4 linked regions of the Ovis aries genome follow. The protein of the gene in region 1 interacts with the protein of each later gene in a biochemical or structural test. Links are inferred from orthologs where the notes say so. Each region holds a gene or a part of one and is shown on either strand. Other genes may lie near its edges.

Region 1 (3,586 bases):
CCACCAGGTAGTAACACCAAAAATAACACTGGCGGGGACTTCCCTGGCAGTCCAATGCTTAAGACTTTGCCTTCCAGTGCAGGGGGGTACGTGTTCTATCTCTGGTCAGGGAGGTAAGATCCCACTTGCCTTGCAGTCAAGAAACCAAAACATAAAACAGAAGCAAGATTGCAACAAATTCAATAAAGACTTTAAAAATGGCCCACATTAAAAAAAAAAATCTTAAAAAAGAAAATAACCCTGGAAACAATATGACTTAGAGGATAAAAGGAACCTCCATGACTGTGATGCAAGAGGCCCCTGAAATGCCATCAGGTTGCTGCTACAAAGCAAATGGTAGCTTATTCTCTCCTAGGCCAGTGCTGATGAATCAAAAGGGGAAGGGCATAATCTGACTCAGATGGAAAGTATTTATGGAACAGAACATAAAACACTTAACAGATCCACAGTGTGCTGTCTTCAGCGCTCAGAATATGTTCCAGCCAGGATGTATTCAGAGGTCTCTTGGAATATTTCAAAGTAGTTCTCAGGGGTGGGTGGGAAGGGAATTCTTGAAGGTTCATCTTTTCCCATCATTTGAATTTTGCTGATGTTTGTTTTTAAATTCATTTGGCAGTTGCACTATTTATAAGTGTATTGACTGAGGGCAAAGGCCGGGAAGGCCAGGAGGGGAGGGGACAGGACACACTCTGAACACACGGCAGAAAGAGGGCAGGTAGGGAGGGGTGAAGGGTAAGCCATGCTCTCAAAGGGAGGGGAAAGAGGAAATGACCATTTATGGGGCTGCTCTTCTGTACAAGGCACAGGCTCAGAAGGTTTCCAGGTTTGCTGTACACCATCAGCCCTCTTTCCGTCTGTTGTGTCGTTATAAGCCTGCCTACTCATTCCAGGTGGCTTATTTTGGAACTTTAGAGAAGAGCAAAAGGAGGTGACATCACCTCTTGCAATTTGCAAAGGTTATGGAGAAAAGACCAACGAGACCTGTAGCGTAGTGCCAAGCAGGTGGCATACCTGATTGCTGGTTCTCCCTCGTCTATGGGTGGTCAAAGCTGTTAGTGAGAGACCCTCTCCTGAGGAGTGGAAATAGACACTTCCTGTCACCTCTGACCAAGTTTCTCAGCCTTCTTACTTTATTTTTTGTTTTTACTTTTTCATTGTATTGGAGTATAGTTGACTTACAATGTTGTGTTAGTTCAGGTGTACAGCAAAGTGATTGTTATATATACATTTGTTTGTTTCCACTTCTTTATATTATTTTTATTTTTAATTATAACCCTCTAAAGAGCTTCTTAGATAGTTTTGTCCTTAAGATACCATCTCTGTTTTGTTTTAATGTCTCTTCTGCCATGAATTTTAATACCATAAATCTGTTTATATATTGTGGTCCTTCGTAAACCATTGTAATTATCTAAAATTTTCTCATACCCCGAGGACCAATTTTTGCCCCGTTAGGGGCAGTAATGTCCCCACTGAAAATGCATGAGGAGAGGATCCCTATTCTGTGTTTTGAAAATACTTTATATCTGGAGTTTAAAATATCAGTGTGCTGTTACTAGTTGAAAACTTGCAGATTCCTTCTCTGTCCATTGATACAAGATAAGATAGGAAGGAAGGGAGGGAGAAAATGTTGATGGAACCCAAACACCTTCCAAGCATTTTCATCTCCATTATCTCATTCTTCCTCTTGAATTTGGAAGGTGAGTGTTTTTATTTCATGCTACATAAATTTTCCAAAGGTCACAGAACTAAAGGGGCATGCTTCTGCCTCTTTGATTTCACAACTCACGTTGTTTCCATTCAGTTACCTCTCTGGTGACTCAGGTTCTTGCGGGTAATTATGGCCACACAGCCTGTGGTCAGAGCCAAACCTTGATGTGATCAGAGGCTGGCCCTGCCATCGCTGTGTTATCACATGTGAAATTGTCCCTGCTAAGGGGATGTAACCCTGAAATTGCTTTAAAACATTTTGCTCAAAATGGGAACAGAGACACTGAATGCTCACCTGCAACCCCACAACTTTGGCAAATCCAGTGTTTCCAATTTTTTCAGTTTCCTTCCTCTTTGTAGACATGACTTTTCCCAAGTGGAAATTAGAGTATTTCTCATGTGTTACAAGTTTTGGAGAGGCTTCTGTACTTCTCACAATAATACTTTAATCCCTTGGGTGGCTATATCAAAATTTATTAAAGCATTTCCCTACTTTGAGCACTTAGGTTTCTTATGATTGTTTGTTATAAATAATGTTGTAAGGGACATCTTCATGTCCCTAGCCTTTTTGCTTCCTTTGAGTTATTTCTTCAGGATAAATCCCTGGTAGTCAGATTATACAAAGTATATGACCATTTCTAAGGCTCTTGAAAAATATTCCCAAGTTGTCCTTCAGAGGGGTTGTATTTTGTCTTACAGTTACTCAAACTACACACTAATATTTTAAAGCTTTGCTATTTTGGTAGGGGGAAAAAGTATTTCATGACTGCTAGTGGCTGTTTCTTTGCTAGCTTGTATATTATTCTAGAAGCCAAGGTTGTCCTTGGGGGCTGTTGTTAGCTTCACTTCATATAAAACAATGATCCTTCTGGTTTCTCCTAGGTCTTCCTCCTCCAAGAGGTCTCAGTCTCCTTCCAAAAAGTCAGACCACTCTAAATTTGACCTGGCAACCAATATTCCCAAGCTCAGAAGATGACTTTTATGTTGAAGTCGAGAGGAGATCTGTGCAAATGAATAGTGATCAGCAGAATATTAAAGTGCCAGGCAACTTGACTTCAGTGCTGCTTAACAACTTACACCCCAGGGAGCAGTACATAGTCCGAGCCAGAGTCAACACCAAGGCCCAGGGGGAATGGAGTGAAGATCTCATCGCTTGGACGCTTAGCGACAGTAAGTAACTTACGCTGCCCCAGGCTTGCCTGAATGATGCTTGGTGGCCGCCAATTAGATTAAGCTCCCATCACTTCAAGTCTGCTTCTTAGAAACCATGACAGGTAGTTAGTTGTAAGTAGAGGCCAATGAGTGCCCTCTCCCCAACACCTCAAATCATTTTAGTGACCCGCAATATTTATGAATGCTCCATATGTTTGGACTAACAATAATTCAGGCAGACCTGTCCTGCGATTTACCTTTCCTGTATTTAAAAGAGTTTGTTTATTTTCGGTTCTCCGGGGTCTTCGTGGCTGTGCACAGGCTTTGTCTAGACTCACTGAGCAGGGGCTACCCTCTAGTTGCAGGGTGTGAGCTTCTCATTGTGATGGCTTCTCTTGTTGCAGAGCAAGGTCTCTCAGGGCTCGCCGGCTTCAGCGGTTGCGGCATGTGGACAGTAGTTGTGGCACACAGGCCTAGTTGCTCCACGGCATGTGGCATCTTCCCAGACCAGGGATTGAACCCATGTCCCCTGCATTGGCATGAGGATTCTTAACCTTTGGACCACTAGGGATCCCTACCTTTCCTTTCAGTGGAGTTATTTACTAAGCAGATGGTGATTCATTACAGATAGATCTCTCCTAATCTTAAAAGACAAGGAACTTTGCTTGAAAATCTGCAAAACAGATAATCCTTAGCATTACGGTATATATTTGAGAGTAATAAAACA
Region 2 (3,500 bases), on another chromosome or scaffold:
ATTATCCCCAAAGACCATGGAGGACAACAAAGAAAGAATACTTTTCATTGGTTTTGAACCTTAACTTTCATATTTACTACCTTGGAGGCTGTAGGGAAATTAATCTTAACTTTTTGGAAAACGTCTTCGTTCTACTGTAATCTCATTATTTAAAACTATTTGTGTAATCTTATTTTCAGGGGTTTTTAATTTCATAATAAAATTCCAGCTGAGGTGAAATTAAGCATGGATGCTCTTAGATCAAGAAGGAATCCCATGTCCTAAGCAAAGTTTAAACCCACCAAGCCCATTTAAAAGCAGAAATCAAAAGAGTAGGGAAGTGAAACAAAAGGGGCCGTGAGCAAGGTAGAGAGAAGCATGAGGTCGGGGTCTGTAGGCGGAACCGCCAGGCCCCGCTCGGTTCACACACAAAGCCTCCAGTCCCTCCTTCTGACGGGTGAACCATGGAACCTGACTTTGATCCCACACTCAGAGGAAGCCTAACAGCTCCACGGCATCACAGCAGTCTTAGAAGCTCTGCGATCCAAGAGTCTCCCTTTTACACAACTCTCTGGAGAGGTGATTGGGACTGGCAGCCACCATAAAGGTTTTCAGGGATGTGGACACAAAGCAATAGATCTCTGCAGGCTGGAGATGAGAGATTTGGAGCCAATCAGCCAACGTGTCCCATTCCAGAAAACCTCTAAGGAACAGAGATCTCTGGGTCAGCTGTCGGGGTGGGGCTCTAGCCTAGAACAGATGATGACAAGGTCCTATTTTCATCCACACGTCGTGTTATGTTACTGTTTACTTTTCATCATCATTTTAAATTCATGGTTTTCAATTTCCTTAAAATCCTTTGCCTCTTGGAAGACCACAGAGATTTACCCCAGAGAACCCCATCAGCTCTGGCCGTATTCTAAGTATCTCTGTTCATCTCGTTTCTGTTATGTAAGTCCGGACGTTTCCCAGGCAGTAACTGTGCGTTCCCGTTGCAGGCTTACTGTGACATGCAAACGGCTGGAGGTGGGTGGACGGTTATTCAGCGACGTGAAGATGGCAGTGTTGATTTTCAGAGGACTTGGAAAGAATATAAAGTGGTATGGACATTCTTTAAACCATCTGAAAACAATTTTCCTTGTGGAAACTAACTTTGACAATGTGCAGGACTACCACCACAAATCTAAAACTAACCAATGATTTTTGACCATTTTTTTTGTTTTGAAACCAAAAAGATCTTTCTAACTGGTGTTTCTGCCACCACGTTAAAGAATGGTCCAGTCGATGTAATGTAAATGAAACATCAAAACAAAGGCATGGGAAAGCTAGTGGGCTCAGCATTTCTAGGGGTAGACTACTTCACAGCATTTCACACCTCTACAAACTAAGGTGTTTATAGTGATGCTTCTTTTTTAAGATTTTTTTTGATGTGGACCATTTTTTTAAGTCTTTATTGGATTTGTTACAATACTGATTCTGTTTTATGTTTTGGCTTTTGGCCACCAGGCATGCAGGATCTGAACTCCCCAACCAGGGACTGAGCCCAGACCCCTTGCATTGGAAACTGAAGCCTCAAACACTGGACCAGCAGGGAGGTCCCTATGACAATGTTTCTACTGGGGGTTCTCCAAGTTGTTCTAATTATTCCAATACCAATCTCCTTCTGGTAACAGCTTAGCTTCTTAACAATGATTTTTTAAAAACCTTATATGGAAGGCCCCAACGTTTCACAGCACAGGAAGGAATTTCTGCTGAATGTTTGATGCTTGTTCTATGTTAAGTTGATGGACTACTGATTTCAAATATGTGAAGGGGGAAAAGAAAAATAGGTGAAGTAAGCGACCTTTTCAACTTGAATTTCAGGGATTCGGGAACCCTTCGGGTGAACACTGGCTGGGAAATGAGTTTGTTTCACAAGTGACTGGTCAGAAACGCTACGTGCTGAAAATACACCTGAGAGACTGGGAAGGGAACGAGGCGTACTCGCTGTATGACCACTTCCATCTCTCGAGTGAAGAGCTCAACTACAGGTGAGGAAACTACACGCCACTGAAGCGAGTTAAAAGACCTGCTGAAGTCAGAAGCCCACTGTATTAACCAGAATCTGAATGACTCACAGGCTACCTTAATGGGGAAAAGCAGCTTGTCTCTCAGTTCTTTGCTGCCCTCAGCCAAGTGTCTCTAGTTTTAGCAGTCTAACGATACAAGGGGAGCTTTATGAGACAGAATCATGCCTGTTGTGTCTGCTCTGTACCCTCAGAGCACAGATGAACCCTGCCTGGCAGGTAATTATTTGCAGAATAAATGCATGTTGTGTCCTTATTATAAGATATCATGCCAATAACACAGCAGATGTATGTGTGTGTGAGTTGCTCAGTTGTGTCCAACTGACCCCACGGGCTGTAGCCCACCAGGCTCCTCTATCCATGGAATTCTCTAGGCCAGGATACCAGAATGAGTAGCCATTTCCTTCTCCAGGAGATCTTCCCAATCCAGGAACTGAACTCGGGTCTCCTGCATTTGGCAGGCAGAGTCTTTACTGTCTGAGCCACAGGGAAGCCTAGCAGATGCATGAGTATGCTGTTTCCCTCTAGAAGGTTTTAAAAGTTAAATCTATCTTTGTGAAGTTCAACCACATTCAGTTGTTGCGTTCCGCTCCACGCTCAAGAGAGGCATGACTAGCTAGGTGGTTGGGCAGCTGGGTCCTCTCCCCTGGGCTGCAGGAAGACGGGCTGGTTTGCAGCTTGGCCTCAGTATTTGCGTCCTCCCACCTGCTTGGCGGAGCTAATCTCAAATGTTCCAAGAAAAGCACGCACAGTTCTGAATGGGAACTGGCTCTCTGGCGCTAGAGTGGCCTGAGAGTGGAGGCAGAGCAAAGGGGCCCTGCACCCTGCTGTGCGAGGCCAGGGCAGTGCAGGGGTCGGGGCGTCTCGCTGTCACGCAGGGGCTCAGGACGCCTGTTGCTGGTGGGGCTCAGGGGGACGGGGTGCCTGCAGGTGACCCAGGAACCTGTCTGGGAAGATACAACACAAGGGGTCAGGTGCCAGCACATCCTGACGGGGTCTAGAAGGCACCGGCTGGGGAAGAACGGGGGGAGGCGTGGCTCCGGTGGCCGCAGGGCACACGTGAGACACCTGCTCTGCTGTCAGGCAAGAGAAGGTCCACAGCAGCATCACAGGAGACAGACGTCAGCTGGCCTGCAGTCCTGGCTGAACTCCACCGACGCCCAGTACAGAGCCTCTGCTCGATGAAAGTTCCAAGGCCTCAGTAGTTTGGGGGTGGCGGGGGGGAACCTGCGATTTTTAAAGTCCTTGAGCTGGCTTCTCGGGGAGGCCGCAATGGATAGCTCGAGAAAAAACGGGCTGAAAGCCGGCCTGCTGACAGCTACCTGAGATGTGCACAACGTCCAGTGTCCTGCTGAACAGTGGGCCAAAATTCAGAAGCATTTCTGAAGGCATGATTTCTGACAAGCTTTGACACGACTTCTAAGAAGTCAGCCACTGGCTCTCATCACACACAGA
Region 3 (4,076 bases), on another chromosome or scaffold:
GCAGGTTGGAGAAGGAGCGATGCATAGTAACTATGGCACTGACAACAACCAAAACACCTACTGTGCGCTCGCCTTGTGCCAGCACTGCTTTGACTTATAATTTTCACACCCTGTGAAGTGGATAGTTTTAATACTATTTCTCAGTTCACCAAGAGGAAACAGAAGCACAGAAAGGTTAAGAGACTTGCCCAAACTCACATAGCTGATGAGTGGTGGAGCCTGGATTTGAATCAGTAAACAGGTAAACAAGTAAGTCAAAAATTCCTCTGTCCCCATGCTGAGAACTCATATACATTCCTCATGCACGAGATGAGGTTTCCGCCTCAGGGTATGGAGGTTGAGAGAGGTGAAGCTGCCCGCACGAGGTCTCAGGGTCAGTGGTTGGGGAGTAGGATTTAGAGCCCACAGTGCCTTAGCAGCAGCAGCAGCAGTAGCCTCTAACTTGGGGGTTGGTCAAGACACTGCTGTACCTCAGGCTCTCCTCCCCGAAATCTACTTGCCCATTCCAGCCAAAGGCAGCTCCAGCACTATCTGTCTCAAGACAAGAACATGCTCTCATTACTATCACAGCACCGGAGCCCCTCCAGGCCCCAAGGGAGAAGAGGATGGGAGCCTGGCTGGGGCACCCACTTCCCTGGCCTTGCAAGGATTTTCTCTGTCTCTAGAAACAGATTGAACTGGCTGCCTCCTCTCCAGCCTCACCCTTCTGCCCCCCTCCCCGTTGCTCTGTCTAAGGTCACTCTGCTGTGTTCCAAGGCTAACACGAAATCAGAAGGGGTAGGTGGAGGGGGAGAAGGCGAAGGCGCTGGGGGCTGAAATTTGAGATCTCAGCCTTGCGAGGAGAGGTTGGAGAGAGAGAGACATGGAAAGACAGAGACAGAACGAGAATTCAGTTGCCTTTGGTTTTCCGAAGCGGGCAGCTTGCGGGTTTGGGGTATGTGTGTGTGTGTGTGTGTGTGTGAGTGTGTGTGTGTCTTGTTTTCTTTCCTCCCCTCTGGCAGGGGGCCAGGCCTCCACTGGATCATAAAAGGACTCAGAGGCGAGGCAGGCAGAGCAAGCCAGTGGAGGGACATAGCAGCAGTGTGTGGACACGCGCGCGAGGAGGCAGGAAGGGAAAGAGGGAAGAGCAGAGGTGAGGGCGTGTCTGGGGGCGGGAGTGTAAGGCGGTGGGAGGAAGCGGAGCAGCTGTGGTATTTGGAACAATTATAAATAGCCGCCTGGACAGAGCTTGGCCAAACAGGGCTTTGCAGCTGCGGCGTCTGTGCAGGCAAGCCTGGCCACTGTTGGCCAGCGGTGGGTGCCAACAGGGCACGGAGATAGGTGGTGGACAGGCCCAGCCCCAGGGCTCTGACTCGACACCCCTCACCATCACCACATCTCTGGATGCCCTCCCCTCCAGCCATGCTGCTGGGTGGCCTCCTTCTCATTGTGGCCTCTACAACCGTGGCCCAGCGGAGGGGGCAGGAGGCTACCGGGCGCCGCCGGGCCCACCGAGTCCAGCACGGCCAATGCAGCTACACCTTCGTGCTGCCAGAGCCTGAGCCCTGCCCACCCGAGCCTGAGGCCTTCGGGGCCTCTAACAGTCTCCAGAGGGACTCCCCGGCGGCCGCACTGAACCTAGGAGACTGGCCGAGCCAGCGGATGCGACAGCTGGAAAAAATGCTGGAGAACAACACGCAGTGGCTGCAGAAGGTAAGGGCTGGGTCTGCAGCGGGGTGAGGGCAGCGAACAGCAGGTGGAGCATCTACCCCAGAGCCCTGCCCTGGACACAGATGGCCAGGCTAATGGGGCCCTTGTCTCTGGATTGTACATATTGGAATGATGAGGCCCAGAGAGGGGCAGAGATGAGTCTGAGGCCACACAGCAAGACTGGGAGAAGACAGAACTGGGAACTAACTCCCCAGCTGCCACTCATTCATCCAGTGTGGACCAGTCCCGTCCATAAGCAGAAGAGTACATCCCCTTCTGGACCAGTATAGGAAAGAGACAATAAAGGGATGAGCAAGATGTACTCTGTCGGAGGTAAAGCAAAGTGAGAAAGAAAAAGGCAAGGAGTGACCAGAGGTGGCGATCTGAAGTCAGATAATCAGAGAGGATTTCTCAGAGGAGGTGACATTTGAGACCAGAGAATGAGCGAAGTGATGGAGCAACCTGGGAAGGTTTCTAGGGGGAGGCTATTTCCAGCCAAGGGACCAGCAAGTGCAGAGGCTGTGTGGCGGGAAGGTAGCTGGGGTACCTGGGGAACAGCAGCATGGCTGGAGCAGAGGAGGGCAATAGAGGGTTGAGGGACAAAATCCAAGAGGTGAGGGGAGGGCAGACCATGTTGGGCCTTGAGGGCCGCGGGAAGGACTTTGGCTCTTCCTCTGAGTTTCACAGGAGCCATTGCAGGGTTTTGAGCAGATGAGACACACCTGAGTTAGTTTTAACAGAATAGGGACTATAAGGGACAGATTTAATGCTGGGAGCCCAAGGAAGAGACCAGGCAAGAAGTGATGGAGGCATGACCAGATACAGGACAGCAGGAGGGGGTGTGGCCAGTCAGATTCTGGTATATTCTGAAGGGGAAGTTAATGGGCTCTGCTGATGAACTGGATATGGGGTGGCAGAGATGAGGGGGCTGAGGGCCCCATTGTCATTTTGGCCCAATGCTGGGGCCACTCTAGGATCCCCTGTCCTCATTCTTTCAGCAGATATTCTGAGCATCTACTGTGTGCCAGGCTCTAGGCAAGAAACTGAGGTGAACAAAGCAGGTTCAGCCCTGGGTGGGGTGAGGAAAGCATCCTATGATGTCCAAGATGGGGAGCAGTCCCTCTTTATCCCATGGTTCAAATTGTTCAAATTGTTTGCCTGGTGAGCAAACAATGTGTCGCTCCCCCGGTACATGCATATTTATTTAGTATTTGTGCACCTTATTAATATAATATTTACTAGGTATGACACAAATGAAAACTTTAAGAAGATAACATGAAATCACGTAAATTAGAGTTCCGGTGGCTTCCTCCTGTTTTCTAAAGGATGGCCTTCTGCATACCCTGGGTTGACCATCTCCCAGGTAGAGAGTTACACTTATCTAACCAAGCTGATTTGTGCACATACTCGAATACACACTTAAACTGTTTCGTTCCTGCCCTGACCATCTATCCCCTCAGCCTCCTATTCACCATCTTCTCATAGTCGCTGCCTACTTGCCCCTCTTACCTTGCAACACTTACAGCTGCCACCATCCCATGCTTAGGTCCCCCCTCAAGGGAGCTCTTGGCCTCATACACTGGATCCCAGAGGGCTCCATGCTGCCTTGAAATCTGTGTGTCTTCAGGCAGCTGTTTCCCGTCCTGTAAGGGTCATGCCAAGCCTCGTCTCCTCCTCAGCCTCCATTTTCACTTTGTGCCCATCCTCTCACCAGACCATGGATCTCCTACTTCAAAGAGACATGGGGCCTACCTATGCACCCACCAGCCCCCAGGGCCTTTCTCTGGCTCAGAGGAAGGGTTCCTCCATGGACCAGAGTCACTCTTTCACACCTGTGGGTCACATCCCCTGCAATCCCTGAACCTCCTCAAACCAACCATGCCTCTTGTGTCTCTACCAACTCCTCCCTTTAGGCTGTTCCTTCCCCTCAATCTTTAATTGCATTTCCCATGTTAAAGAAAGAAAGAGGAATCGGAGAAGGAGGAGGAGAGAGAACAAGACCCTTCTCCAGCCCACACCTTCTGACTCTGGCCTGGCTCTCAGAAGTCTGCACGCTCTGCCCCCACTTCCTCCTTCATCCCATCCTTTCCCGAAGCAGCCTCCCACTTCCCATTTCCTAATCCAGAGGCCACGGCTCAGTCTTCATCTCACTTGACCTCTTGGCAAATTTAGTATCACTAACCAATATCATCCTTCCAGAAACGGTCTCCATCAGCCAGTCCTCATCTACCACTCTGACTGCTGTCCCTACCTCCATCCTGGACCAGCCACCTCCAACTCCTATTGGATGGTCATCACAAAGGATGTCCCAGGCTCCATTTCTACCCAGACCCCAATAGTCCATTCTGTATTCAGCAGACAGAGGAGGGGTCCTGTTAAAACCTAAG
Region 4 (4,276 bases), on another chromosome or scaffold:
TGACTTGTGACTGATTAGCCTTACTTTGATTCAGTTTTCCTATTGATAAAAATAGAGTCAAAGGTAATATTCCTGACTGAGGTTTGTTGGGATAGTTAAATAAGATTGTGTGTATAGTAAGTTCTTAGCAAGTGTCATTCTTATTATGGCATATGAGTAACATAGCCAACAAGGAGACAGGGCAATATCAGGAAGAGGCCGCAAAGGCGGTTCAAAGACTCTTGCTATGTTTGGTATTACTCGCTCCTGTATCTGTCAGTTCAGAAATTTGTTATTTTGTGTGGAAAGGACTGATAAATCTTGGCACAGTTTCCCCCCAAGTAAATCACATTATTTCTGAAATTTGTTTTGCACTCTCCTTTAGCTTCTTTCCACACATCAGTCTCTAACCCGTACCACTTTTCATCTACTGCCTTCTGCCTCCATTCCAGGACATGAGAGTCAACATCTGTGGCTTCTGTTTTCACACCATGATTGCAGTTGGGAAACTCCATTCCCCATAATCCCTCCCAGTTCTTGGTGAAAGCCTCTGCTTATAATTCATGTTTTCCACACAGAGCTAGTAAAGATCTCAGTGCTATAAAATTAATTCTGTAATTATCACCTGTTCTTTATGTTCAAATGTTTGTTCAAATGTTTACACCATACATTTAAGAAATCATCTTCTGATACTTTTTATTCGTACTTAATAGAAGCAGAGATTTCTCCCATACAGCTCTATGCTGTCTCGTTAACACACCTGATCTGTTTGTTCTCAGGTAGTTTTCCTGTGCAGCCACGGGAGAGTTTATGTAGAACTTCCGTACCAGCATTAAAGATAGCCATAGCAGTACCAAAGAGGTCCTTGTGAAATATATGATTGGGATGTACCACAGGAATTAATAATTCTCAGGCCACTGTCTTAAATGGTAACCACAGTGTTTTTGTAAGGAAGTTGCTCAATTTATGTACACAGAACACACAGGGCTGCATTCTGACTCGGGAGCCAGTTTTATTTAAAATTTATATCTCAGAAAATACTAAAATTATTCTACTTAATATGCATATGCTATATTCCTTTGAGTGACATTGTGAAATGTTTTGCTAATTTGACCCTTCCTGATAATTTCCTGAAATTCTAAGTGAATAAATGCCATCTCTAAAAATGGTTTTAATGTCTTTTTCCCCAGAGTAAAGAATTATTTTTTAAAAAAAGTAATAATTGTACAGATTCATCATCCACTATAAAAAATAATTTTCTTGGAAACTGTGCCAGTTTTCTTCTTCAGGTTCCCCAATTAAGTAAAACTTTAAAGACATACTTCTAGTTTGCTGGATTTTAGTAGGTCAGCATACACACCAAAAGTGTATTAAGGTGGACTGCTCTATTTATTGATTTTCAGTGAATCTGCTAAAGGCTCAAGGCAATTGTCTGCGGAAGGGGCGGGAGGGCCATACACGATCGAGGTCATGCGCATCTAGCCAATGTGTAAGACGATCCAGCCGCTTCGCTTCAAGCCATCAGCAATCCTTAGCATAGGGGCACCCTCATGCATTCTTGTCAAGTCATCTTGTGAAAGGCTGCCTGCTTCCAGCTTGGCTTGGATGTGCAACCTTAATAAAACTCACTGAGGTCTGGGAGAAAATAGCAGATCTGCAGCAGATAGGGTAGAGGAAAGGGTCTAGAATATGTACACGCAGCTGACTCAGGCAGGCTCTACGCTGAACGGTTACACCGAGAGGAAACAATAAATCTCAGCTACTATGCAATAAATATCTCAAGTTTTTAACTAAGGAAACTATCATTACGGTGAAATTAAAAAAAAATACGATTTTAGAACAAAGCTAAAAATGGCTAGTTTTCTGTGATTCTTCTACAAAACTTTCTTTGAAAGGGAAAAGTCAAACAAACAAGCAGTTTTACCTGAAATAAAGAACTAGTTTAAAGGTCAGAAGAAAGGAGCGAGTTTTGCGAGAGGCACGGAGAGAGTGCCGGCAAGTACAATGACAGTTTTCCTTTCCTTTGCTTTCCTCGCTGCTATTCTGACTCACATAGGGTGCAGCAACCAGCGCCGAAGTCCAGAAAACGGTGGGAGAAGATATTACCGGATTCAACATGGGCAATGTGCCTACACTTTCATTCTTCCAGAACACGACGGTAACTGTCGTGAGAGTACGACAGACCAGTACAACACAAACGCTCTGCAGAGAGATGCTCCACACGTGGAACAGGATTTCTCTTCCCAGAAACTTCAACATCTGGAGCATGTGATGGAAAATTATACTCAGTGGCTGCAAAAAGTAAGTGAACGCTTTCAGTTTCTAATTGCACGGAGCCTTTTCTGTTCTACCGCTGCAACTAACTTAAGAGTTCCTTAGGGGGCCATTTGTGTGTTTACCTTTTGCTCCAGGGGGGCAGTGTTTGCAAATGCAAGACGGCTCTCTCCCTATGACTTAAAGGGGTGAGCCAAGATTTTGTAGTCTTGTGCCTCTGAAAGTATGGTGGCACCCCATTTGTGTGCCTAACACTGGCACATTTTGTGACATTTTTGGTTTTCTCTTATTTAAAATTCAGCTTGAGTTTTTCTGACTGTCAAAGCCCAGCTTAAAAAAAAAAAAAACCAAACGTGTATGTCTTGAGTAAGTTGGTGAAAAAATTAAATAATAACAACAGTACTATTAGGATCAAATAAATTTTACACCCTGAAATTTTGTGCAGCTAGGACAGAAAGTCATCACCAGATACTTATTTTTCAACCTCTAGTAAAGTTAATATAAAATGTGGATAAATACAAAGTATGATATTTGATTGAAGAAATTGAATAAGTATGTAAAGGAAACAGTTTCAGCAAGTAGTAGAATAGTAAAAGACTGATTTCTGTCATATATTTCTTCTGTCCTTGAGAAAAAAATCAGGAAAATATATTTGAATGTGAACTCATCAGGAAGAGGTTGTTTGCCCACTGTGAAAAGACATGCACCTGCAGATTTGGGCTGAACACGACATGTAGATTTTGCTATGTCCCTAAAGTGCCTCTTTCCTCAAGACATTATAGTCACACACAGTGCAATGTGGGGATCCAGATAAATGTTAATGTTGAGTATGCATTTAATTCCAATTTATAAAAATCAAGCATCATATTTAGTTATTTCTCTATAAACCATTTTAAAGTTTTTGTTGAAAATATGCCAGTGAAAAATAACACACTTTCTGCAATTCCTTCCCTCTTTGCTCTGTGTTTAATTGTGTAACAAGTAAGCAGCAGATAACAAGTGTGTTCAAATGTGTCGCTGGAAGGGTGACAATGTCAGTGTCCCACTTGTGGAAAGCTTCTCCCCCAGGGATCTTTGCTAAAAATTCACTTGATGTGTAGGGTAGGAACACAGGCAGTCTAGTCTTCTTTATGTTAGTCTGTTAACAGAACAAACCCTTTAAGAAGATAAAAGATAGGGAAAGGACAAATGCTCTTTTTTGTTTCTGTGTGGTCACACTCACTTAGATCACCTCCTGCTGAATCATGCCAAGTAATAGTTATTTTACTTTTGTCCACTAGGGACTGAACTAAGATCACTGTTATTTTATTTGACAAGTTAACTAAACCTTAGTAGTTTTATTCCAACCTTGGAATTTTAGTTGATCTTCCTATTGTAGGTTACAGGTGAAAAAAATACATTGATAGGCAAAATAATAGAAAACAAACAATTCTGAAGTCTTTTGATAACATGGCTTAAATTTCAGGCACTAATTAAATGTAGCTTAAATTTCAGGCACTAATTACAGCAGCAGTTTATAATAGGATTTTTTTTTCCTTTCACAAAACTTATTTCCATCATGAACAAATGAATTTGGTTGAATAGCTTATTACTATTCTCAATATACTGTTCATATAGTTTTAAATGAGAATTTAACCATTATAAATTAGTCTGGAGTCATTGAGGAAGGTGGAGAGGGAAATTTAGTTCCAAATTGTCTTCAGTGAGTTATTCTACCAAAAATGTAATATTTTGTTTGCTTAAAATATACAATCCAAATGATGATTTAAGCATGAAAATACATATTTTTATTGTTGTTGTGCAGTTATTTAACAGTAACAGGATAAAGACATGATTCTACTGGGTTTAAATCATGCACATGCTTCATATGTTAATATTTGAAATACATTTGATTTTTGTTTGTATTATTTTTGGTCAAGATGATGGCATACTTTTCAGATTATAGCCAAGCATAACTATGAACATGTTTTTTGGTGAAATTGACCCTTGCTAGCATGAATCAAGCAGAATGTATGCTGACAAT

The links.
Region 2: the proteins of TEK (region 1) and ANGPT2 form a complex in vitro, tested with the Homo sapiens proteins (7 studies listed by BioGRID and IntAct, with this or other methods). The link is inferred for Ovis aries from reciprocal best matches to the Homo sapiens genes TEK and ANGPT2.
Region 3: the proteins of TEK (region 1) and ANGPT4 form a complex in vitro, tested with the Homo sapiens proteins (2 studies listed by BioGRID and IntAct). The link is inferred for Ovis aries from reciprocal best matches to the Homo sapiens genes TEK and ANGPT4.
Region 4: the proteins of TEK (region 1) and ANGPT1 form a complex in vitro, tested with the Homo sapiens proteins (6 studies listed by BioGRID and IntAct, with this or other methods). The link is inferred for Ovis aries from reciprocal best matches to the Homo sapiens genes TEK and ANGPT1.

The regions. Positions count from the first base shown.
Region 1 is NC_056055.1:95,909,468-95,913,053, forward strand, and holds part of TEK (angiopoietin-1 receptor), read left to right. Parts: intron 1-2,589; coding exon 2,590-2,877; intron 2,878-3,586. UniProt on the Homo sapiens protein: Tyrosine-protein kinase that acts as a cell-surface receptor for ANGPT1, ANGPT2 and ANGPT4 and regulates angiogenesis, endothelial cell survival, proliferation, migration, adhesion and cell spreading, reorganization of the actin cytoskeleton, but also maintenance of vascular quiescence.
Region 2 is NC_056079.1:5,662,391-5,665,890, reverse strand, and holds part of ANGPT2 (angiopoietin-2), read left to right. Parts: intron 1-977; coding exon 978-1,079; intron 1,080-1,842; coding exon 1,843-2,009; intron 2,010-3,500. UniProt on the Homo sapiens protein: Binds to TEK/TIE2, competing for the ANGPT1 binding site, and modulating ANGPT1 signaling. Can induce tyrosine phosphorylation of TEK/TIE2 in the absence of ANGPT1.
Region 3 is NC_056066.1:59,852,842-59,856,917, forward strand, and holds the start of ANGPT4 (angiopoietin-4), read left to right. Parts: upstream 1-1,234; 5' UTR 1,235-1,383; coding exon 1,384-1,692; intron 1,693-4,076. UniProt on the Homo sapiens protein: Binds to TEK/TIE2, modulating ANGPT1 signaling. Can induce tyrosine phosphorylation of TEK/TIE2. Promotes endothelial cell survival, migration and angiogenesis.
Region 4 is NC_056062.1:69,923,952-69,928,227, forward strand, and holds the start of ANGPT1 (angiopoietin-1), read left to right. Parts: upstream 1-1,463; 5' UTR 1,464-1,983; coding exon 1,984-2,280; intron 2,281-4,276. UniProt on the Homo sapiens protein: Binds and activates TEK/TIE2 receptor by inducing its dimerization and tyrosine phosphorylation.